Saccharomyces cerevisiae S288C: one gene and its partners. Changing the gene in region 4 together with the main gene of any one other region gives a genetic interaction. Each region holds a gene or a part of one and is shown on either strand. Other genes may lie near its edges. The genes, in order: SYH1, CHM7, SOL3 and HUB1.

Evidence for each region.
Region 1: mutations in HUB1 (region 4) and SYH1 together harm fitness more than expected from each alone (negative genetic interaction), as found in Saccharomyces cerevisiae (2 studies listed by BioGRID).
Region 2: mutations in HUB1 (region 4) and CHM7 impair growth when combined (synthetic growth defect), as found in Saccharomyces cerevisiae (one study listed by BioGRID).
Region 3: mutations in HUB1 (region 4) and SOL3 together harm fitness more than expected from each alone (negative genetic interaction), as found in Saccharomyces cerevisiae (2 studies listed by BioGRID).

The regions. Positions count from the first base shown.
Region 1 is NC_001148.4:352,334-357,203, forward strand, and holds SYH1 (Syh1p), read right to left. Parts: upstream 3,080-4,870; coding exon 530-3,079; downstream 1-529. Other genes in the region: aspartate--tRNA ligase MSD1, read left to right, coding at 3,367-4,870.
Region 2 is NC_001142.9:344,305-352,476, forward strand, and holds CHM7 (phosphatidic acid-binding protein CHM7), read left to right. Parts: upstream 1-1,668; coding exon 1,669-3,021; downstream 3,022-8,172. Other genes in the region: ATP-dependent RNA helicase MTR4, read left to right, coding at 1-1,439; UBX6 (Ubx6p), read right to left, coding at 3,143-4,333; YJL047C-A (uncharacterized protein), read right to left, coding at 4,740-4,874; cullin RTT101, read right to left, coding at 5,276-7,804; AIM22 (putative lipoate--protein ligase), read left to right, coding at 8,082-8,172.
Region 3 is NC_001140.6:419,383-426,870, reverse strand, and holds SOL3 (6-phosphogluconolactonase SOL3), read right to left. Parts: upstream 3,148-7,488; coding exon 2,398-3,147; downstream 1-2,397. Other genes in the region: bifunctional ATP-dependent DNA helicase/ssDNA endodeoxyribonuclease DNA2, read left to right, coding at 1-2,261; MPC2 (mitochondrial pyruvate carrier), read right to left, coding at 3,410-3,799; YAP1801 (Yap1801p), read left to right, coding at 4,585-6,498; PEX18 (Pex18p), read left to right, coding at 6,799-7,488. UniProt on the Saccharomyces cerevisiae protein: Hydrolysis of 6-phosphogluconolactone to 6-phosphogluconate.
Region 4 is NC_001146.8:686,743-691,828, reverse strand, and holds HUB1 (ubiquitin-like protein HUB1), read left to right. Parts: upstream 1-4,364; coding exon 4,365-4,586; downstream 4,587-5,086. Other genes in the region: SOL1 (Sol1p), read right to left, coding at 543-1,508; ABZ1 (4-amino-4-deoxychorismate synthase), read right to left, coding at 1,831-4,194; putative serine/threonine-protein kinase PPG1, read right to left, coding at 4,713-5,086. UniProt on the Saccharomyces cerevisiae protein: Forms conjugate with SPH1 and HBT1. Involved in morphogenesis.

The DNA of each region.
Region 1 (4,870 bases), on a different chromosome or scaffold from region 4:
ATAAGAATCAGAACTAACTGAGTTATAAGAAGAAAAATCAAGACAGAGGGAGTTTAAAATGGACAGTAACTTTTATCACTAAGGTTATATTGACAAGTAGTGCTCTTTGGAAAAGGAATCTTCTAGAATCATCTTCGTTAAATTTCTTTTTTCATTGCCTTCGAAAAAAAAAAAGAAAAAAAGAAAAGAAATACACGTAACAAATGATTATGCGCTCAACCAACTTAAACACTTCTCATCTCCATTAAGAACCTTCAAACAGACGATAGATTCGCTAAATGATACGTTCTGCAATTTGAAAAATGTGCTTACCTTTCTCAATTCATGTGGCTTCAAACATTTAATCGATATACTAGCTATAGGTAGTTTGCACACGCTAACATATTATTGTAGCGTTCTTAGTACTGTTATTAGTTATCAAGATATTTAATTTCAATTAATTATACAAATAGATGGGAGTTATACTAGTTAATACATTGAATAGAAGATATACACGCGTAGTAAACAACTACTATGGAACAAAAAGGCTTCAAAATCTTTTTCCTTTCTTTTTACCAACAACTTGAAATTCCCAGTCTTCGGAACTGCCTTCAGGCATAGCTAATACTTCACTCCAGCTCAAGGGGTCATTAATTTCTTCTTCGCATTCTAGACGTTTTTTGATGAAATCAGTGGCAAATCTCCTACCGTCCATTGTTGAACTGTAGGAATATATGGTATCTGCGATAATTTCCTTGGATTCTGAACCTGGGGGCAAGCTAAGTAGCATTTCTAAAACATTATCGGGCTGAACACCCGTATTTAGTTTTAATTGGGATCGGCACCATCTCAAAAATTCTTGACGCTTAGAGACAGAAGCGTTACCGGGATAGGCAGGGATGCGAGACGGTTTAACTTGACGGGCCTTTAAAGTCGGGATACTAGTGGATGAGCCAATTTGTTTACTCTTATCGCTCATTTTAGTTTTTGTTGCGGTAGATAACCCCCCAGAAGAACGCAGTGTGTCCAAACTGATATATGACTTTGACTGGTTACCAGCGACAGGCATGGTGGAAGCGATGTGGGTTGTGCTCTTAGAAGAAACCGTGGTCCACGCATTGCTAGTATTCGAAGAGTTCAATGCCGAAGAAGATGGGGAAGGCGTTCTTGAAATGAAATCATCGAGTGAAGAAGCGCGGTTGAATTTCTTTGTTTTCTTTTGAACTTGTTCCCACAGCTTTTTCTGCTCTTCAATAAAAGTGGAATCTGGTTTAATATCACCATTGTTGGCCTTGTTAATTTTAGACTGACTGTTAATTTTGGTACTGTCTTTCATCAATTCTCCTTTAATATCAACTTTGATCGGTTGCTGTGGCTTTATACCCCAGGCAGAACCAGTTTGAGTTTTCGGAATTTGCGCCGAGCTTAATATTTCTTTCTGTAGTTTTAATGCCTGCTCACGATCTAACTGAGTACGATTAGGTTTTTTTTCTTTCTTGGACGAGTTCTCCTTCTTCAAATCTTCAAGAGCAGATGAAATCTGATTATAAACAGCACCCTCGGGTTTCTTGTTAGCCCAAGGCGCCAAATTAGTGGTTATGGAAGTTGCGGTGTTTTCGGAAGATGGAGTTTCTGTATCTCCAGTTAAAATGTTATTTAGCAATTCTTTTTGCTTTTCTTTCTCTAATTTTCCTTCTTCCTTCTTCTTCTTTTTTAACTTCTCTTCTTCCTTTTTCTGCTTTTGCTTCAATTTTTTCTCCTTCTTTAATTTGCGCTGTTCTTCTCTTCTCTTTTTTTCTTCTTCTTGTCTTTGTTGTTCTTCCAATAATTTTTGTGCCATCAGTTCTGCCTTTGCAAACCTTTTCTGCTCTTCAGAAGTCATTTGCGGCGTATCTTTGCTTTTCGGCTCATCAGCAGTGGATATTACATCCTTACGGTCTACCTCTTCAATCTCTGGTTGAACTTGATCCAATATATTTTGCTCTTTCTCGCTTCCTCGAGATTCTTCCTCCTGCTTAGTAGGATTTTTGACAATAGATTCCTCTTCATTTGTTATGTTAGAAACAGTTCTGCCCTCTTCTGAAAAAACCTCTTGCTCCTCTGGAGAAGCTTCCTCGTGGGAAGGAACCTTCTCTTCATGGGAAGAAGTGGTTTTATTAGATCTACTAGAAGTCGTGGATAGAGGAGCGGTATATGCAGATATCTTTGGTATGCGATCTACCTTTGTGATATGACGGCCGTCAACCGGAACCCAAACCTGAGTTTCATGATAGTAACTTCCATCTTCAAATTTAAGGCCAAGGATTTCTTCATACGTAAAATCATCACTATGCACATCAGCAACAGGTATCAAATCTCTTGACTCAACTTTTTGCTTTTCTGATGAAGTTGGTGCAACAAGTGGAACAGCATTCAAAGCTCTAATAACAATGAAATCAAAGGCGACAAAAGGGTCTTGATAATTATTCACCAGAGTAGTCAATTCACCTAGTCTAATAAACCGATCATTTACACCAAATGGCTCAGGAGATGTTGCTAATCTACAGATTTGCAAAGTTGGAGTAAAATAACCTCCTTGATACCACTGTGACATATTATTGGTACCAAAAGGCCCCTGAATGTTACCATTAGAGTCAATGTATTTCCACTGAGATTCTATCCCCGGTGGTGGGGGTTGATTACCAACGTTGGGGGCAGGCCCTGTTGCGTTGTAGAGATAAGGAGCTACATTTGGAAATGTGCTCGAGGGTTTATTGAGAACGGAAGGGCTGCTGGCGTTCATATGCAGGTTGGATGATGCTGCACTAAATGCACTATTGTTTTCCTGATTAGCAGATATTTGTAGCGGAGATCCAGTAATTTCAGCGTCATATGCATTGAAGGGAACAGTACTGGCTCCACTAATCGCATTACTCCCTGGCACAAAAGGAGATGGAACTCTTTGGACGCCAATAGAATCCATAATGGAGGAGGGCCTTTGCAAAAGAGCCGCATTGTTCATGGTTGGAGTATTGCTATTTGATAATGCAGCAGTGTCTGAGTTCGCGTCTGCAAGTTTAACACTGTGAAGGTCAAACGCTAGAGAGTTGATAGGATTCATCACTTACTGCCACTGCCAATCTTGTGCAAGCTGTGGCAAAATCGACCTTCTCCATGCGTCCATGGTAAATGAAATGTTTTGCTTTCTTTTTCGTGCTTGCAAAGTTTGGTAGATGAAATTTCAGAAAGCTACTGCCGTACCAAAGTACAATAATAAGGTGAAAATGGGAGTAGGAAGTAATAGATGGCATTGAATGCCTCATTTATTCATTATTCATGTTTTCTTAACATTTTGATTCAGTTGAGTGCATGCTTTTTTGAAAAGACTAAACATTACAAGTTTTAATCATGTTGGCCCGTTCCAGGGTGTGCTTGCAGACAATCACTAGACGGTTGGCAGACTTTCCAGAAGCCAATGCTATTAAGAAAAAATTTCTCTTTAGGAAGGACACCTCGACCATCAAACAGTTAAAAGGACTGTCTAGCGGCCAGAAAATAGTACTCAATGGATGGATAGAGCAGAAGCCAAAAAGAGTTGGGAAAAATTTGATCTTCGGACTTTTAAGGGACTCTAACGGTGACATTATCCAGTTGGTTGATAACAAATCGTTGTTGAAAGGCTTTACTTTAGAGGATGTGGTTCAAGCCGTAGGTATACTCTCTTTGAAGAGGAAGCTATCAAATGAGGACGCAGATGAGTACGAAGTGCAATTGGAGGATATTACTGTGTTAAATGCATCTAATAAAAAACCAGCGCAAATGCAGGATTTTAAATTGTCAGCCATATACCCACCTGAGTTCCGCTATTTGCAATTGAGAAATCCCAAATATCAAGATTTTTTAAAGAAGAGGTCATCTATCTCTAAGGAAATAAGAAACTCCTTCAACAATTTTGATTTTACGGAGGTCGAGACCCCAATGTTATTTAAAGCTACCCCAGAAGGCGCAAGAGAGTTTCTGGTTCCAACAAGGACAAAGAGATCCGATGGTAAACCATCGTTTTATGCTCTAGATCAGAGCCCTCAACAATACAAGCAACTCTTAATGGCTAGTGGTGTCAACAAATATTATCAAATGGCAAGGTGCTTTAGAGATGAAGATTTAAGAGCAGACAGGCAGCCTGAGTTTACACAGGTTGATATGGAAATGGCCTTTGCTAATTCTGAAGATGTCATGAAAATCATAGAAAAGACAGTTTCTGGGGTATGGAGTAAATTTTCCAAAAAACGAGGATTATTGACTTTAGACAGTAAGGGTACATTAGTGCCTGCGAAAAAGGAAAACGGCACAGTATCTATCTTTCGTATGACCTACGAACAAGCCATGACCTCATATGGTATTGACAAGCCAGATTTGAGAGCGCCAGATTTGAAGATTATCAATTTAGGCGAGTTCAATGCCTTTAGTCATTTGAACAAAAAATTTCCCGTTTTTGAAGTAATTATTCTAAGAAGTGCCTTTTCAAATATGGAAGAGTACAAAGAACGATGGTCGTTTCTGACAAATAACAGTAATTACAATTATAGAGTTCCAATAGTGCTACCAATTGAAAATGACGAACAAGCTAATTCAAATTGGTTTGAGAATTTTCATGCAATTGCCACGTTTGAAAACCCACATCTAATAACCAAATTTCTGAAACTGAAAAAAGGTGACATTGTATGCGGTTGTACGAGAGAGCCAAACCATTCCATTTTCGAGAATCCTACTCCCCTGGGAAGATTGAGACAGTTGGTGCTACAAAGTGAGCATGGGAAAAATATCTATCATGCTGTCAATAAGGATGTTGCCTCATGGATTGTGGATTTCCCGTTATTTTCTCCCGTTATAATTGAAGATAAGTCTGGTAAAA
Region 2 (8,172 bases), on a different chromosome or scaffold from region 4:
GAGTTGAAGGTATCTCTCCGGAGTTTATGTTGGAGCATTCTTTCTTCCAATTTCAAAACGTTATTTCAGTACCAGTTATGGAAAAGAAACTTGCTGAACTGAAAAAAGACTTTGATGGCATCGAAGTCGAAGATGAAGAAAATGTTAAAGAATACCATGAGATTGAGCAGGCTATCAAAGGTTACCGTGAAGATGTTCGTCAAGTTGTCACCCATCCGGCAAACGCCTTAAGTTTCCTACAACCAGGCAGATTAGTTGAAATCTCTGTCAATGGTAAGGATAACTATGGCTGGGGTGCTGTTGTCGATTTTGCTAAAAGAATTAACAAACGCAACCCAAGTGCTGTCTATACAGACCATGAATCCTATATTGTCAATGTGGTCGTCAATACCATGTATATAGACTCTCCAGTCAACTTGTTGAAACCTTTCAACCCTACCTTACCAGAAGGGATTCGCCCAGCGGAAGAAGGTGAAAAAAGCATATGTGCTGTTATTCCCATAACTTTGGATTCAATCAAGTCGATTGGTAATTTGAGACTATATATGCCCAAAGATATTAGAGCCAGCGGTCAAAAAGAAACTGTTGGGAAGTCTTTAAGGGAGGTTAATCGGAGGTTCCCGGATGGTATTCCCGTGCTGGATCCTGTTAAAAACATGAAGATCGAAGATGAGGACTTTTTAAAGCTAATGAAGAAGATTGACGTTTTAAACACAAAGTTATCCTCCAATCCCTTAACCAATTCCATGAGACTAGAAGAACTATATGGTAAATATAGTAGAAAACACGATTTACATGAAGATATGAAACAATTGAAACGCAAAATTTCAGAATCACAAGCCGTAATCCAACTGGACGATCTTCGTCGCCGTAAAAGAGTTTTGCGCCGTTTAGGATTTTGTACTCCTAATGACATTATTGAACTGAAAGGTAGAGTTGCATGTGAAATATCTAGTGGTGATGAACTGTTACTAACAGAATTGATCTTCAATGGTAATTTCAATGAGTTGAAACCGGAACAAGCAGCAGCATTATTATCATGCTTTGCATTCCAAGAACGCTGTAAAGAAGCGCCTAGATTGAAACCAGAGCTTGCCGAACCTTTGAAGGCTATGAGAGAAATTGCAGCAAAGATCGCTAAGATAATGAAGGATTCTAAAATTGAAGTTGTAGAAAAGGACTACGTTGAAAGCTTCAGACATGAACTAATGGAAGTTGTTTACGAATGGTGTAGAGGAGCTACTTTTACGCAAATCTGTAAAATGACCGACGTTTACGAAGGTTCGTTGATCAGAATGTTCAAGAGATTAGAGGAATTGGTGAAGGAGCTGGTAGACGTCGCCAATACCATTGGTAACTCTTCACTTAAGGAGAAGATGGAAGCTGTCTTGAAATTAATTCATAGAGATATCGTATCTGCTGGTTCTTTGTATTTATAGTTAATCACACACAATTATGTATTTTTATTGGTATATATAATAAACAAATAGATTTCATCAACATTTATTATATAATAACATTTTTGTTTGGGCAAGCACACTATTGATACACCCATACAACTCAATGAAGTGCAGCGTTAGTAGAGACAATAAGAGGAGTTTTAAATTCTTAAACTATATCTGGCAAAACACCACCAAAGCCAGCCAAATAGTATCTCACTGTATCTGAATGAAAGTAGATTTACCAGAATCCAGACTACCATCTTTATATAGAGATTTTAGGCCATTGAAAGATTTAAATCCCGATGGGTACGAAGCAAACATCAGTACATGGAGGGATTTCTTCTTGCAACAATACATCAGCAACTCCAACAGAATCATATTTACTATAGGGACAAGGACTTTGCAAGAATTAACTCATGAAGTTTATGGCGTACCGAAAAGCATTGATATAGCAATTGACGTTCTTGTTAATGAAGGAAATTTGATACCTATGGAATTATTCAATCTTGGTGGAATGTACACTGACAACAGTAGAAAAGGATTTTGGAAGTGGGTTAGAAGTTGGAAGGAGTCTACAAACATGTATAAAAGCCGGAAGGATGAAACAAATTTCTACTTGAGAGAAGACAAATTTATTATCAAAGCAAATTTGGAAAAAGAGTATCAAAGGTTTCATGAATTACTCAAAAGAAGTGTTTTTATGGAGGCTTCATCTATTACAGATTTAGTATTCACAAGGAATGAATTTGTGACCACAGAAAGTTTGCAGTCGTTCTTTTCAACCTATGATGAAGAAACGAAAAACGTGTTCCTGCACTTTATAGAGAATTATAAGCACATAATAGTTTCAAAAGACAATGTTATCAAAGTCATTGCCGCTGAAGTAGAAGACATTACTAGCAGGTTCTCCAAAGGCATCACAGAAAATGACCTTCGAATTGCTAGTGTTAAAGTGGGTATTATAAACATCAACAAACAAATTACAAGGCTAAGAAAAGAAATTAATGAATCTAACATTAAACTGAGAGGACCAGAGTTTAATGAGCTGCCGAAGAGAATAAGGATTGAATATAAACAGGCGAGATTACTATCTGAAAAACATCTTTCTAGGTTACTAAAGTTTCAAAATAACCTCGCTCAAGTAAGAACTCAAATAGACACCAGTGCTACTAATGCGGTTTTAATTCAAACTTTAAGTGAATCCAACGAAGTAATTAAGTCAATTAATGGATATATTGGTTCTACCGAAAAAGTAGAAGACTTACTAGATGAGATTAAAGAGGGTCATGACCGTACCGAAGAGGTCAATGATTTATTAGCTCATTATAATAAAGGTCAAGACGAAGAAGCAGAAGAAGAAATTGAAAGAGAATTAGAACAATTAGAACTTGATGAAAAGAATAATAATAAGGAAGAAAATAAGAACCAGGATTTGCACGAGCCAAAAGAAAGCAGTAGCGAGGATCTATTAAAGAGATTGAATAATCTGAAGATAAATACAAATGAAGGACCTGTGCAAGATAATGAAAACCACGATAATGAGATAAGAAAAATCATGATGGAAGAACAACCACGTTGACGAACTGAGTGACTAATAAATAAATATATATGTATAAATAAAAAATAAATATGAATATTTTAATAGACGGAAGAAAGAAAATATGTGTGAATAACCAAATAGGAAATAAACAAAAGCACATTTAATTGTTGCCGTTATTATTAGAGTAACCTAATGTACGAACTTTGGTATTAGATGCAGAATTATTGGAAGACAAGTTTAGTTCAGACACGTTTTGTCGCAATTGAGAAGTACCATTAGAAGGATACATCCTTGGGGTAGTATATGCTGAAGGAGTCATTGAATCACCACCACCTCCTCCTCCCCCGTCCGACACCATGTCTAAGCTAGATAATTTTTGTAAAGAGTAGTTGGCGCTGTTTGACACATTTGTGCCCAACCTCTGGTAACCAAGACGGGAGGAGGAAGCATCTACTTCCGGTTCTTTCGCCCAAAAAGATGTCAAACCTGAGTAAACCTTGTGTAGAAGAGAAGATTGTTCCATGTAGTCGAATGTTTTGTTATTGGCTTCCAGCGGTTCTAAGATGAGAGTCGATCTGGGCAACAGATCCAACTCTTGCAAACTTTTGAGTTCGTCATTTCGCGTAAGAGTCACTCTTGGTATATTTCTGTGGAAAAGGTAAGGTGTTCCATCATCGTAGCAATTATAGTCTAACCACATCCTTACTTTGTGTAATTTTGTTTGAGGAGGGAAAGTATTAGAGATTGTGTAACCATTGGGCAGTTTCAATTGTAGAGTACAGTAGTTCTGGGCGAGAAACCCCTTTTGACTCTTGTAACTAACATTATCAGTAACTGTCAACTGCTTCCACTTCTGTGGCTTTCTTTGCGGGTCATTAGTATTTTGAAAAACATACTTCCTCTCCAACTTGTCGTTCTGAATCATTCTTTTGACTCTTTGATATTCTTCATTGCTCTTGGAAAATAACTTCCTCTTTGTTACTTGACCCTTAAAGACTGATTGTAACCCATTGATAAAGGTTTCCCAAGGATCCTGCTCACGAGAAAGGCTATTACCTTGGATAGAACATTCGAGTAGACCGTTCTGTAATATGTTAATGCTTGGCGCCGATGAGGAGGGGAAAATGCTCTTGAAAAGCAAGCACTCTTTAGTACCATTTACTAACCTTACCCACAGTATGTTTTCGCGCTCCTCGTCACTAAGATTTCCTGGTTTGAACCACTGATGAAGCCAAGAATTGTCCCCGGCTGCTGAACTAATGTAAACGACGATAACCTGCTCACTAGTATGAGAGTAATCATGAACAACTCGATCATGAAAGAGGCTGTCTATACCTGACATCTCGTACATTTCTGTTATTCAATACCTGTAATTCACTTCCTTTGAGGGTCAAAAATGTCCCCTGTAAGCAAGTGTATAAGTATATAATTATATATATGTGCATATATATGTCCCTATACAACTACTAACGAATCTTAAAAGTTGACTATTCATGTGGAAAAAGTCCCTCTTCTAGGGTTGACGCGCTAGAGGTAAATCCATTAAGGTTCCTCCTGGCTTCGTTAACTCCGAAAAGAATAGCATGTGCAAGATGAGTTACCGAAAGAAGCAATAAAGAAAGCACGAGTACATGTAGAACAGGGGCACAGATAATACCAGACAGATGAGCCCACTTTTAAGAGTTTCAAAACTTCCACGAATGCACAGGGAGAATAAAGTACGCGCTGGGTCCGTTACGATTCGTGCTGCAAGAGGTTTAAAATCGCTCCACAATGGTCTCGCCCCTCGGCCCTTCTCCAATTACAAGCATATTACTAATACAGTTTTCGTTTCTTTTGTAATGTTCAGATAGGAGCGAAAGACTAATTTCGATGGAAATTTTTATCTTCATTTCGATAGTATGTTCAATCAGTTGAACTATGCATCTTTGGTTATCATCATTAACAAATTGAAACGAAAAGCTATCCTGCCAAGAAGGCCGGATAGAGAGATTGAAAAAGATATATAAAGTGTCCTTGTCACACTCATACAACACCTGTTGTATGTCAGGCATACGGCAAATTGACTACAGTTTGCATTTGCACTAATGTCGTTTGCAGTGTAACTGTTGTATTGAACGTGGACAAGGACAAGAAAGATAGTTTTTATCTCTTGATGTTTTTTTATATGGAGGAGAAAGCGACGAAGTCGAAAAAAACGAAAGGAAATAAAATGCTGTCGGAAAAAAAGTTAGGGCTGGTACGGATTATAAACTATCTCAGTAGTTAGGTAATATATAAGATGGCACCAGTCTTAGTACTTGTAAGTTGCTGTTGATTCGTCCCTAGTTATGAATTTGTCTCGTAACAACTTGGCCAAGGCGTCTTTGAACTCACCAACACTAAAGCCTTTTATCTGCTGCTTTACCGTTTCAAATAAATGGTCGTAGTCTAGCCCATTCCTCTCGCTCTTAACGGATCTAGTTATGCATGCCTTTAGTAATTCTTGGGTCCATTGGGAATTACTTCCTTCGTGGTGTGCAGAACTGGTTCTTTCACCGCCTGTGTTGCTACTTTGGAGAGACGCGGTTCTCGGTAGAACCACACGTAGTTTCCCATTTTTCACTTTTTTCATATCAGGTTTGAAGCTCTCGTTGATACTGTATGTGTTGTCAATATCTCTTGTCAGAATTTTATAATTGCAGAAGGATTTTAAGACTAGCGCTAAGTCTTTGTACGCCAGTTTCGTTTGCTCTGATATAACTTGCAAGGTCAAATGATCGCTTTCGTTGAATAAAGTCAGCACACATGTTTGGAAAAGGGTCAATTCAAATATTAGGTTAGTTCCATCCTGTATGATATAAGGCGACTCCACTTCGCAGTGGTGCAAGTTCCACATCGGATATAGCTCTTTTTTGGAAGCATCTGAATCTTCCACTTTATTCTGCTCGTGATAATTACGGAGAAATTGGTTCCACGTATCATCCATCTCTTGAGGTAGGACAAAATTTTTCTTTACTTCGTTGGATTGCTGAAAAACTTTGGGAATTCTTTCTCTATCAAAGATAAGTGGGAAAAATGACTTGCTGTTGTTTTCATTGTATGTCTTCCCGAACTTCACAGCAGCCTCGATATTCTCATAAAACGACAAGAACGATGCATATTTGATTCTCAGATCTGCCATAACCTCTACCGGCTGAAAGAATTGCGATAAATAGGGTTGATATTGATCTCGGTATCGCATTTCATCCTCTTGTGAGACATTTGTTATGATTCTTTGTTTGAAAAGTTCCATGAGGCTGTCTTTGTAAACAGGTAATATATCCTTAATAAATGAGGAATTTTGATCACTTTGTAAGATCGTCTTTCTGAAAATTGATCTTTCGAAAAAATTAGGAAATGTGGGAAGGTTAACGAACTTCAGTCTCAATATAGGAAGATTTTCGTTGAGATACTTTATTTTCATATCTCTGGGTAGGTCTTTTTTAGTTGTTTTTATCTTTCTGACGATGATGAATAAATGTGACTCAAAATATTTGACATACTGTTCTATGGCTTTGCTGGTACTTCCAAGTAAATTACATAAATGGTACTCGATGGAATCGGAGTATATTTTGAGGTGATCTACATTAGCTAGCTGAACTACCTCATCAAATAGCCTTTCAGTATCATGATTGGATCCATATGCTGCCTTTAACTTTTCTGAAACGGCATCATCACAGAATTCCTTGAATTTTGACAGCATATTTTTTGCTTCAAAAGCATTTCTAAACATCAATAAGCTAAAGTGTGTCTCAGTTTTGAAATATCTCTCTTTTTCTTCATCATAAGTGTCCTTCCCAATTTCTATGTATTCGCTAATAGACTTCTTGTTCAACAGTAGATGGCTTATAAATAGGTCATTTGCATCGCTGACCCATTCAGGGGAAAATAAAGATGCTAATAATGCATTCCTCGTCAATAGTACCTTAAAATTCTTGAAAGTTTCCAGCCTCGGCCTTAAATTTGATTCCTCACAGTAATATTGTCTGAGAGTTTTCATATAAAAATCTTTGGGGCTCAAGCCCTCTATACTAAAATTGCAGTTAGACATTATACGGAGCATAGGAACTTCCTTCTCTAACATTGTATTCGTTATTGGAAACATATGAATATAGTGATGAATAGTAGCGCTTACAAGGGTGGAAAATTCCCTTCCAAAATGTGACTTCATACATTCGAAAAGTTTGGAATCATAATACTGAAATATCGTTAAGGTCTCAAATCCTAGTTCTTTTCTTATCATGGGATAATTTACCGGCACATACGATATAATAGGACCAACGGCACCCATTACGTACTGAAATAGCTTGTAAAAAGAGGTCCAATTTTTGGGTATAATTTCATAAGAATAGTCGCATCTGGTCAAAAAGCTAAGGACGTGCGCGTCAATTATTAACTTTGCCAATTCATCACAAAATTCTTGAAAACTCAGCACAATTTGGTGTTGATGTAGCAGCTGAAACTTCTTTTGCTTTTCGTCATTCCCATTAAATTCTGAGTTGTAAGGAATGTATGATTTCCTTTGCGTTAATTCACGGCAATTGTTCAACATCTTAGGCATTAGCTTTCTAAATTTAGCGGCCTTTTCTTTATTACACTCCAATTCTTTCACGTCAGTTTCAGTTATAGTTTCAGCTAAAGTAAGGTGAAAAAACTCGTGCAGCTCAGCAATCATCGTTCGATACCTGGGATTTCGCTCATCGTTAAATTTATTGTATAGTCCTAAAGCGTTGCTTGCACTCGTCTCTCTGCTTATAGACTCGTGGAATCCTTCTCTCTTGGAAACGCTCTCATTTATCATTGTTCCTGTGAACCCGTACGAGAATTTATACCAGTAAAAAAGATTGGTGGGTTTAATATCTTGAGGATTCCTTCAAAGTAGTCTTTTAGTGCAAAGATATCGATGATCTTCATTCGCATTGTTCATATTCATCATTACGCAAAGGATAGCTATGCGTTCCGCTTCGTCATACTTAATCAGGAATATTGAACATCCAAAAATCTCCGAGCTCACGTATGTAGAATTTTTGATGAATACAAAAGAAGAAAACACTAGACTTTTCTTTGATGTTTACATTATGTCTATGATGCTAAGTAATTGGGCACTCTCCCCTCGATATGTGGGACAGCGAAACCTCATACATTGCACCACTTTATTTCACACACTTA
Region 3 (7,488 bases), on a different chromosome or scaffold from region 4:
CATGTTTCATCAAAGAATCATGCATGGTGTTGAATAAGCTACTAGAGGACGGGACACCAGAAGAAAGTGGCCTGGTAGAAGGTGAGTTTGAAATTTTGACAAACCATTTGTCGCAAAATCTCGCCAACTACAAAGAGTTTTTTACAAAATATAATGATCTAATAACTAAGGAGGAGTCAAGTATAACATGTGTAAATAAAGAACTTTTCTTATTGGATGGTTCCACAAGAGAATCCAGAAGTGGAAGGTGCCTTTCTGGCTTGGTTGTGTCAGAGGTGGTTGAACATGAAAAAACAGAGGGAGCGTATATATATTGCTTCTCAAGACGTAGAAATGATAATAACTCGCAGTCGATGTTATCATCTCAAATTGCTGCTAATGACTTTGTTATTATTAGTGATGAGGAGGGTCATTTTTGCTTGTGCCAAGGTCGTGTACAATTTATAAATCCCGCTAAAATTGGTATCTCCGTAAAACGAAAGTTATTAAACAATAGGCTTCTAGATAAGGAAAAAGGAGTCACTACCATCCAAAGTGTGGTCGAATCAGAGCTAGAACAATCCAGTCTCATAGCTACCCAAAATTTGGTCACATATAGAATCGACAAAAATGATATCCAACAGAGTTTGTCTTTAGCGCGATTTAATCTTTTAAGCTTGTTTTTACCAGCTGTTTCACCTGGCGTGGATATTGTTGACGAAAGGAGTAAATTATGTCGGAAGACAAAGAGATCTGATGGAGGTAATGAAATACTGCGATCACTTTTAGTTGATAATAGAGCACCTAAGTTTAGAGATGCAAATGATGATCCCGTCATTCCGTATAAGCTTTCAAAGGATACAACATTGAACTTGAATCAAAAAGAAGCAATAGACAAAGTAATGAGGGCCGAAGATTATGCATTGATATTGGGAATGCCAGGGACTGGTAAGACTACTGTTATCGCAGAAATTATTAAAATTCTCGTTTCCGAGGGGAAACGCGTGCTTTTGACATCATACACACATTCAGCAGTGGATAATATTTTAATAAAATTGAGGAACACCAACATTAGCATAATGAGATTGGGAATGAAACATAAGGTCCATCCTGACACGCAAAAATATGTCCCGAATTACGCGTCAGTGAAAAGTTATAACGATTATTTGTCCAAAATTAACAGCACCTCTGTTGTTGCTACCACCTGCTTAGGAATTAACGATATACTATTTACACTAAATGAAAAGGATTTTGATTATGTGATTTTGGACGAGGCAAGTCAAATTTCAATGCCTGTCGCTTTGGGACCTCTGCGGTATGGAAATAGGTTTATTATGGTAGGAGATCATTACCAGCTACCGCCATTAGTTAAAAATGACGCAGCTCGATTAGGTGGGTTAGAAGAGTCACTGTTCAAGACTTTCTGTGAAAAGCATCCGGAAAGCGTTGCAGAACTGACTTTACAGTACCGTATGTGCGGCGATATTGTAACTTTGTCTAATTTCCTAATTTATGATAATAAATTAAAATGCGGGAATAACGAAGTTTTTGCTCAATCTTTAGAGTTACCAATGCCTGAGGCCTTGTCGCGCTATAGGAATGAATCGGCTAACTCTAAGCAGTGGCTTGAGGATATACTAGAGCCTACAAGAAAAGTGGTATTTTTAAATTACGATAACTGCCCGGATATTATCGAACAAAGCGAAAAGGATAACATTACGAATCACGGGGAGGCAGAATTGACTCTACAATGTGTGGAAGGAATGTTATTGAGCGGCGTACCATGCGAAGATATTGGTGTAATGACGTTATACAGAGCACAGTTAAGATTACTGAAGAAGATATTCAACAAAAATGTGTATGACGGGCTAGAGATCTTGACTGCTGATCAGTTTCAAGGTCGTGACAAAAAGTGCATTATTATTTCCATGGTTAGAAGAAATTCTCAATTAAATGGAGGAGCGCTGCTGAAAGAGCTAAGAAGAGTCAATGTTGCCATGACAAGGGCCAAATCCAAGCTGATCATTATAGGTTCAAAAAGTACAATCGGCTCTGTTCCTGAAATAAAATCGTTCGTGAACCTGTTAGAAGAGCGTAATTGGGTCTATACAATGTGCAAGGATGCACTCTACAAATACAAATTTCCCGACAGATCAAACGCTATTGATGAGGCACGCAAAGGTTGTGGAAAAAGAACAGGTGCCAAACCCATCACATCAAAGTCTAAATTCGTAAGCGATAAACCTATCATAAAGGAAATTCTACAAGAGTATGAAAGTTGACAGGGGGAATAAGAAGAGCTTCTCCATAACAGGAAAGCTATCACAGCATAAAATATCTATGTCATTTTATAAAGTTTGGTATATATAACACGTAATATTAGCATCTGAGGTTCGAAAGCTCGCATGTGTGTCTTTTCTAAAAAGTTTTCGTTTGAACTTTTCCAAAAGCTTCCTCATTAACGAACCAGGATGTTTTTTCACCAAATAATTTGTTAACCAATGCGGTTGGCAATTGATCGTTTTTCAAGTCAAAGATCTCATGCATTATATTTTGTTTGGAACTGCCCTCAGCCACAAAACACAGGGCTTTGGCGTCTTTCAACACAGGCAGAGTGAAGGTGATTCTGTCACTTGGAGGCTTGGGAGAATCGTGGCACCAAGCAACTCTTTTGGTTGTTTCGTTCAGCAAGTACCTATGTGTTTCTCCAGGGAATAAGGAACAAGTGTGTCCATCAGGACCACAGCCCAACAGTACCAAATCAAGCACTTGAGGTACGATACGCTCGTACTCTGCAGCAATTTTGTTGTTAGATTCAGCATCGCTGCCAATCAAGGACTCGTCCATGGGATAAACGTTTGGCTGACTAGTCGAGGGTAATTTATCTAGAACAGCTCTCTTGAAGGCACCATAATTGCTGTCAGCGTCCGTCAGTGGCACAATTCTTTCATCAGAGAAGTAGATTTGCCATTTAGACCATTGCACTCGAGAAGATAGTGATTCGTCCGCTACTAAACTTTCATACAGAGCATCGATCAAAGAGCCACCGCTAACGGAAACTTTAAAGTCTGACTTCTTTTGCAGCGCCTCATCTTGTTTCTTGACGATGAATTCCCCCAATTGATGGGTCAAACTAGCCCTCTCAGAAAACACACCGACTGTCACCATTTGGTCGCGGACCAGGGGTAAAGCAATTGATGGTGCATTGCCTTCTATTATCCTCGAGGCCTTTCCTCTTTATATAATATACCACTATTACCATTGTCGGGGATAAAAAGGTAAGAAAAAAACGGAAAAATGCAAAAGAGCAAATTATAACACCGCGCAAAGAAAATATACTTTACTATTTTATGAATATTATACAATCCGGATATATATGCTTACGTACATATCTTTGACAAAGCAAAGTTTCGAGTTGTAAATTCGGCGTTTATCTGCCCGTAGTAATTTCCTTTTTGCTTTCGTCGGCGCCGCTGAGAATATAGCTACACAATTGCGATATAGAGTCGCCATTCCGTATCCTGTAGTTGGCAATTCTACCCAATTGATAGCCAGCGGTCAGACAAAGAAACGAGTTGACAGAAGCCAACAAGATGTTTCTTGGCTTGATGACAAAGGACCAACGAGTCCAAATCAGCGCAGTAGATAGCAGCGACAAATTTTGAGCACCAGAAATTTTTTCCACCGGTCTCTTCATATCGCTGAATCCAGCGAAAACCAGACCCCATTTCAAAGTAGGAGCCCAGAAATGCACCGTCTTGGGGCCTGTCTCACTTTGCCAGAACCGCCTAAATGCAAAACGTACGGATGATGTAGACATTTTTCTTTTCTTTAATCTTTTTCTGTATAACTTCGTTTATATAATTCGTGTGTCAATTTTCTGATATAGTGAGTGATAATTCTCGACAATACGTTCTTTCGAATGAACTAATGGTTTGCCGTCTATTTCAGTTTCCTATTGCAGTCAGCGATGTCAACGATGTGCGTATCAAACTTTACTGTTTTCCTCGAGGAAAAACCTTTGTGCTTCTTTTCTCTCGGACTTTTTCTTCTTTCTTATTATATACTCAACGCTTTTCTTTTTCTTCTTTTTTTTTCCATCCTAGTCATGCGCGCAATAGGAAAGCGCACGAAACAAATGAGTAATTCGTAGGAAACAATGCAGCCCCCAGGGTCAGCAACTGACGTGACTCAGCCTGGCTTTTGTAGAAAAAGATGACGCCCTGGCAGAGAGGTGGGGGAATTGAGGGGTCCTCGCTACCCACCTTAAGTATGGAAGAATATGATGAAGAATATGATGATAACTCTTGGAAGCGAGCGGCGGGTTCCATCACTTTTTACGGATTGGTAACACAGGGGCCTCAGTTCGATACTTGGTATTCAGGCTTCCAGCGTTGGTGAGTTTAGTTAGCGGTATGGTATGCACATGGTGTTGATGCTTGGTGGTAATCATTCGTTAGGTGAATTGAGCAGTAGCGATATTAGATATATTTAGTATTTTATAGCGTCTTTTTGGTGGGGGAGGAAGGACAAAACCTGTCTCGTAAATATAAAGGGACTGTTCGATATCGCAGATACTAGAGTATAAATTTCGATTGAGGCGAGATGACAACATATTTCAAGTTGGTAAAAGGTGCTACCAAGATCAAGTCAGCCCCGCCCAAACAGAAGTATCTGGATCCGATACTGTTGGGGACCAGCAATGAAGAGGATTTCTATGAGATCGTGAAGGGTTTGGATTCCCGAATTAATGACACGGCGTGGACTATTGTGTATAAATCGCTGTTGGTGGTTCATTTGATGATAAGGGAGGGTTCCAAAGATGTTGCATTGCGGTACTACTCTAGGAACCTGGAGTTTTTTGACATTGAAAACATACGTGGCTCCAATGGCAGTGCGTCTGGAGACATGAGGGCACTTGATAGATACGATAATTATCTGAAGGTGAGATGCAGGGAGTTTGGTAAAATCAAAAAGGACTATGTGAGAGACGGCTATCGAACACTGAAGCTGAACAGTGGCAATTACGGAAGCTCCAGAAACAAGCAACACTCTATCAATATAGCACTAGATCATGTGGAGTCCCTAGAGGTACAAATACAAGCCCTGATTAAAAACAAGTATACACAATATGATTTGAGTAACGAATTGATCATATTTGGTTTCAAGCTGCTTATTCAAGACCTGCTAGCGCTATATAATGCTCTCAACGAAGGTATCATAACTCTGCTGGAGTCTTTTTTCGAACTATCTCATCATAATGCAGAGAGAACTCTAGACCTGTACAAGACGTTTGTTGATTTGACCGAGCACGTTGTCAGGTACTTGAAGAGCGGGAAGACTGCGGGCTTGAAAATACCCGTCATCAAGCATATCACTACCAAACTGGTCAGATCGCTAGAAGAACATCTGATAGAGGATGATAAGACGCACAACACTTTTGTGCCCGTTGACAGTTCTCAAGGAAGTGCTGGGGCCGTAGTAGCCAAATCTACTGCACAGGAAAGGTTGGAGCAAATCCGGGAACAAAAAAGGATACTAGAGGCACAATTGAAAAACGAACAAGTAGCGATTTCCCCTGCTCTAACTACTGTCACGGCGGCTCAATCTTACAACCCGTTTGGAACAGACTCTTCTATGCATACTAACATTCCAATGGCTGTGGCTAATCAAACGCAACAGATCGCAAATAACCCATTTGTATCTCAAACTCAGCCACAGGTGATGAATACACCAACCGCTCATACAGAGCCCGCAAATTTAAACGTTCCTGAATATGCAGCGGTCCAACACACAGTGAACTTCAACCCTGTACAAGATGCTGGCGTAAGTGCCCAACAAACGGGGTACTATTCGATTAACAACCATTTAACACCCACATTTACAGGTGCAGGGTTTGGAGGATACTCCGTTTCACAGGATACAACTGCCGCTTCTAATCAACAAGTCTCTCATTCACAAACTGGTTCTAACAACCCGTTCGCATTGCACAACGCCGCGACGATCGCAACAGGGAATCCTGCACACGAAAATGTCTTAAATAACCCATTTTCACGACCAAACTTTGATGAACAAAATACCAATATGCCGCTACAACAACAGATAATAAGTAACCCTTTTCAAAACCAAACGTACAATCAACAACAATTTCAACAACAAAAAATGCCTTTGAGCTCGATCAATAGCGTTATGACAACCCCTACTAGCATGCAGGGATCGATGAATATTCCTCAGCGTTTTGATAAAATGGAATTTCAGGCTCACTACACTCAGAATCATCTCCAACAACAGCAACAACAGCAACAGCAACAACAGCAACAGCAACAACAGCAACCACAACAGGGTTATTATGTGCCTGCAACTGCAGGAGCCAACCCTGTTACAAATATAACTGGGACAGTTCAACCTCAAAATTTCCCTTTCTATCCACAACAGCAACCACAACCGGAACAGTCTCAAACACAGCAACCAGTTTTAGGAAACCAATATGCTAACAACCTCAATTTAATTGATATGTAATATCTAGTATAATCAGGTATGTAAGGGAGTACTCAAGTGCATCTTTGGATAGCTATATATAGTTGTAAGGAAGAGCTATGTAATTTTTGCCATTTTGTACATATTTTGCATTTGTCCTATAGTATGTAATACTTACATCTTACTGTCTTCAATTCCTCCCGCCAACAAAAGATTTCGATAGCGCCGCACCATGGAGTTTATATTGTTATTTCCGAGACGACCTATATAAGGGAAAAGACGAAAACTGGGTATTTGATACTTGTCTAAACTTCAATGGACAAATGATATAAAATACAAACAATGAATAGTAACCGATGCCAAACGAATGAGGTGAATAAATTTATTAGTAGTACAGAAAAGGGGCCTTTTACGGGCAGGGACAATACGCTCTCTTTTAACAAAATCGGGAGCAGACTGAATTCACCACCGATTCTGAAGGATAAAATTGAGCTGAAATTTCTACAACACTCAGAAGATTTGAATCAATCACGGTCCTACGTAAATATTCGTCCTAGAACCTTAGAGGATCAAAGTTACAAATTTGAAGCGCCAAATCTAAATGACAATGAAACTTCTTGGGCCAAGGATTTTAGATATAACTTCCCTAAGAATGTTGAACCGCCCATCGAAAATCAAATCGCGAATCTTAATATAAACAACGGGCTACGGACATCTCAGACAGATTTTCCCTTAGGCTTTTATTCACAGAAAAACTTTAACATTGCTTCCTTCCCTGTGGTTGACCATCAGATATTCAAGACAACAGGTTTAGAACATCCTATCAACAGCCACATTGATTCTTTAATTAATGCTGAATTTTCGGAACTGGAAGCCAGTAGTTTGGAAGAAGATGTCCATACAGAAGAGGAAAATTCAGGTACGAGTCTGGAAGATGAAGAAACTGCCATGAAAGGTTTGGCTTCCGATATAATTGAGTTTTGCGATAATAATAGTGCCAATAAAGATGTAAAAGAAAGACTAAACAGTTCA
Region 4 (5,086 bases):
CTACACGTAGAGTTAAGGTTTTTATATCCGTTGTATACCTACCACTGCTATGTATGTTGAATCATGTTTGTGTGGATAGTCTACACACAAAGCTTGATAATGCCATACGAATAAGGTGGTCTTGCAAACTGATTCTTCGTAAACTCTGTAATTAACATTTTGTTTCAATCTCTCACTTCGCTTAAGACCAAATAATCTCCTTGAAAGAAAAGAAAACTTAAAAGCATGCTTTTCTCTTAGCGGAAGCCATAGGTCCAAAAGGGAAATATCCACTGTGGTTGTTATTATTTTTTTCTAAAGGGTTATTGTATATATTATATATGTTGTATGTTATATATGCACACTACGTCACTAAGATGACTTGTTTTATATAAAGTTACTTCTCGAGAAAATTCAAAAACATAGGGTGATTTATTGCGATTACTAAAGGGAAGGGTGGGGATAGAAAGAGCTAAAAAAAGAAAATGGTTAAGGTTAAATCATAGTATTGTCATTAGTTGTCATTATCATCAGAAAGAAAAAGAACCCAAAAAATTAAACACCTACTCAGTCAAATTCTCATCATCATAAAACTTGTACTTCTTCTTAATTACAAAGACATCTTTCAAAGCATCGTCGTCTACAAACCATGAAACACGACCGGCGGCGCCCTCATTGACAATACTACTAGGCAATCCCTTTTCAGGCCTTTCCATTATTGTCTTGATTACAGGCGCCTTTGTGGCGCCCTCTACAACAAAGGTGACTCTATGAGAGTGACAAATCACTGGGATGGTCAGTGAAATCCTATTCGAAGGTCCGCTGGGTGCATTTTCTACAGGTATGACCCATGCCAGATTTTCACGTAGATTCTCTTGAAAATTGGGGAATAACGAGGCTATGTGACCGTCAGGAGCGCAGCCAAGCAGAAACAGATCAAACATCGGTAGTTTCACAGAATCTCTACCGGCAAATCCTTTAATTAGAATTTTCTCATAGTTATCTGCACACTCTTGAGGGTCGTTAATCAATGACTCATCAATGTGATAAATTTTCGGAGTTCCGTACTTCTCCGTATCTATTAAATCGAATATTTTTCTCTTAGCAAGACCGTAATTGCTTTCACTGGAGCTAAAGGGCACTAGTCTTTCATCAGCAAAGTAAATGTCCCATTTACCCCATTGAACGTCGTCTCTTTTCAACAATCCTTCGTGCAACACTTGGATTAACGAACCACCGGACAACGCAATCTTGAAGCGCCTTTCTTTCTCCTTTTTCAATTTCTTAGTGGCGCCGTCTTCACTACCACCACGGCTGGAGGCATTACTCCTTACAGAATTTACTCTCTCCATCGTTTTGGATTCTGTGTTACCATTTCCGTTAAGGCTCGTTCCGGACATCTGTGTGGACCTTGAGACTTTGCCCTTCTTAAGGGCAGAGTTTTGTGCGTGAATAACATGATCGGCAACTGCCTCAGCTACTCCTGCAAATTCATGGAATGCAAACACTTTAGGTACGGTTGTTGTCATCTTGCAAAAAATTATTCCAGTTAAAATCTATTTTCTCGGGCCTCTTTTATGTACTAAAATGTTATAATATCTATTATCTTATGGTTTGAAAGAATTCTGCTCCGTCAAGCATACATTATAACCTATTGATAAGTAAATTGGAAGGAAAGTCTTCCCTAAATGACCATGCTTTAACTTTTTTCCAATATCCTTTTCCAGGGTTTTCCACGGCACAAAACGTCATTTTCCTAAAGCGAAAAAAAAAAAAAATTCTGCATCGTACAAGAATAGTATATTATTCTAAAGAAAATGTTTGCATACATATCTAATAATATACAAATATCTACATGAAAATTTGTAAGTTGCTCTCCAACTTGTTGTACATTTCCTCTAGTTCGCCATCTAGTGTGCTTAAGACTGTTATGGCCCCCCCTGCACCGAGTTGCCAGCTGGTTCCGCCGTTGTAGGAATACATACATCTAATGTTAACAGACCAATCTCCGTTGGAATTCACAGACCAATATCCCGTGACACCGCTGTAAACACCACGTGCTCCACCATTGACATGTTTGTTTAGCTTGCTTTCTATCTTGTCCTGCAATAATTGCACAGTAATCTTCTTGGGGGCTCCCGTCATAGATCCCGGAGGAAGCGAGTGTTTAAGGACATCAATGCCTGAATATCTCGTCTTCTTACTGGCAGAGGTCAATCCATGTGCCTTTACGACGCTAACGAGTTGGTAAACGGTGGCATATTCTTGCACGGACATGAACTCCTCCACCCGAACGTCAGGAACCAACTCGTAAAGGTCATTTCTGATTAAGTCCAAAATCATTAAGTTCTCACCAAATTCTTTTGGTGTCTTCAGGATTCGTGTGGCTTTTGCCAAGTTCATTTGCGGTCCTTTTTTCACAGTTCCCTTGATGGGACGTAGCTCGCATGTGTCTGCATCCCACTTCAAAAACCTTTCTGGAGAAGTACTTAAGAAGCACAAAACTGGAGGCGTTTCATCTTGGCGGGGAATAATGTCTTTAAACTCAAAAAAACTTGAAAATGGAGCCGGGTTTCTTTGTACCAAGGTCTGGAAAATCCTCCAGGGTTCTATCACCGCAGATGGTACAACTTTGGTTTGCGTTGTGAGACACATTTCATAAGAATCACCCTTATGCATATAATCCTGACATTTCTTAAACGCCTTAGCGTAGTCAAGTTTATCGGGCATAGTTATAATGAAGTCTATCTCCTCTGGAAGATACTTGGGCCAGGACAGGGATTGCTTAATATTCTTCTTTCTAACAAAACTGTCCCTTAATGATTGTTCTAATGCCACTGGAAATGTATTATCCAGAGAAATACAATAAAGCTTCCCTTGCTTGTGATTAATGACTATACTATTGTTGATAAAAACTAGTTTGGCGTCGGGAACAAGGGAATTCTCATCATCATTGCAACGGCCGCATGCAATGTACTGACCTATTTCATAACCTAAAATGCCAACAAGACCTCCAATAAAAGGTATTTCTCTGTGGTTATCGATTATTTTATTCTCCATAAATTTACCCAAAGTGATCCAAAATTGGGATTTATCTTCATGTATTACCTCAAGGGAGCCAGGCAAATCCGAATCTTGACCATCTAGACACTTTTTCAACAAGGTGTAACTAATTTCACTATCTTGCCAATAATGAACTGTAGTCTTTTTCATAGCTCCATAATGAGTGAATACCTGGGATGCGGAGTTTGGTAAAGCAATGATAGACCATTCACCCGTATTTTCACTAATCACAGAAGATGACATGACAAATTTTTCTTCTCGTATGATGTTGCAAATTTCAAATGTCAATTTCGGGTCTTCAGAGACCTCGAACTGCTTAACGTAAGTTGTGTCCTCGCCCTTCGGATATTTCTCTTTTACCTTGTATATGGGGTCTCTATCAATAGTCCTATCCAATCGAGATAGGATATCGGAAAACTCTCCATTAAGTTTCTTCTTTTCCCACCTTCCTGTCTTCACGTTATTTATGAAACTCAACTTGAGAAAGTTACTGACTAACAGCCCCCCCAATTCTGAACAACATGACTCCGGGTGGTACTGTACGCCAAACCATGGCTTATTTTTCGTTTGAGCACTCATCAAAAGAATACCGTTCTCATCTTCGGTTGTGCATAAGGGCAAAAGGGTGTCAATGCCTTCGGCATTGACATGCAATGAATGGTACCTCGTAGATTTGAACGTATCGGGATAACCAGAAAAAAGGCCACAAGCTCTGGCTGCATCGTTTAAATGCATTTCATACACTTGCCCATGCTTGATAGTATTTAGCTCACTGACATCAGCACCTTGAGCCAAGCACATTGCTTGGAACCCAAGACATATACCCAATATTGGAACTTCATCTAACTTTCCATTGGCATTCTCGAAAAGCTCAGATATTATACCCATATCTTGTGCACCATTGTTGGGATTCCCAGGTCCTGGGCCAACAACGATAGCATCAAAAAGCGGCAAAAGTGGCAATAGCTGATCCATAGATTGGAACGTATCACTATGTACCGTCGTCACGTGCACGGCGTTGACTCCCGGTGAGATATCAGTTTGTTGTTCAATTAGTCTCACTACATTGTAGGTGAATGAATCATAAGAGTCTATGAACAGGACATGAAGCTGTTGCTGTTGTTGCTTTGTGTCAATTGTATCGGACAGCATTCCTTTATCCCCCTTGTGAAATCTCGAAAGGTCATCGTGTAAAAGTTCTACGGGAGACTTGCTTGTTTTTATATATTCGCGGTTTTGGCTGAGAGAGATGAGGAGGGAGAGGAAAAGATTGAGAAAGAGGAGCGGTGGCAAAGCTTAGATTGCAAATAAATACTCTGAAAATGATTGAGGTAGTTGTGAATGACCGATTAGGCAAAAAAGTCAGAGTGAAGTGCCTTGCTGAAGATAGTGTAGGTGATTTCAAAAAAGTATTGTCCTTGCAAATTGGCACCCAACCAAACAAAATTGTGTTGCAGAAGGGTGGAAGTGTTTTAAAAGACCATATCTCTCTGGAAGATTATGAGGTACATGATCAGACAAATTTGGAGCTGTATTACCTGTAGAAAATGCGCTGTTTTTTTTTTTTTGATCTAAATACACAATACATACATTTGCAACCGAGAGAGATAGAATATGTAGAAATAATAAGATGGCGTTGTCTCTATAATGCTTTTCTATTGTTTAGTAAGCTACAAGAAGTAATCAACATGTCTGTTAGAAGCAGATCTGGCTTGGTATACATCTGAAAATATGTACATTTCAGGGTCCGTGGAGCCATCTGCGGAGGCAGAGTCGTCTTCGAAATAATCTGCAATCAATTTCCTGTTGGCTACCGGATTAGATATGCTATCTTCTAAGGCATTGTCGTTCATACTGTTCTCTTTCAACAGTTTATTTTCAGGTGCCTCTTCGAAAACGTTGAAGTAGAATTGATCTTTACTATACAGCTCCAGAATAGATGCTTTATTGCCGCACCGATAACAATAGTTTGGCGCCGACCATACAGTAGTAACCAATCCATCAAAATATATCTGGTAACCTTCGTTACATAACTGATGGGCTC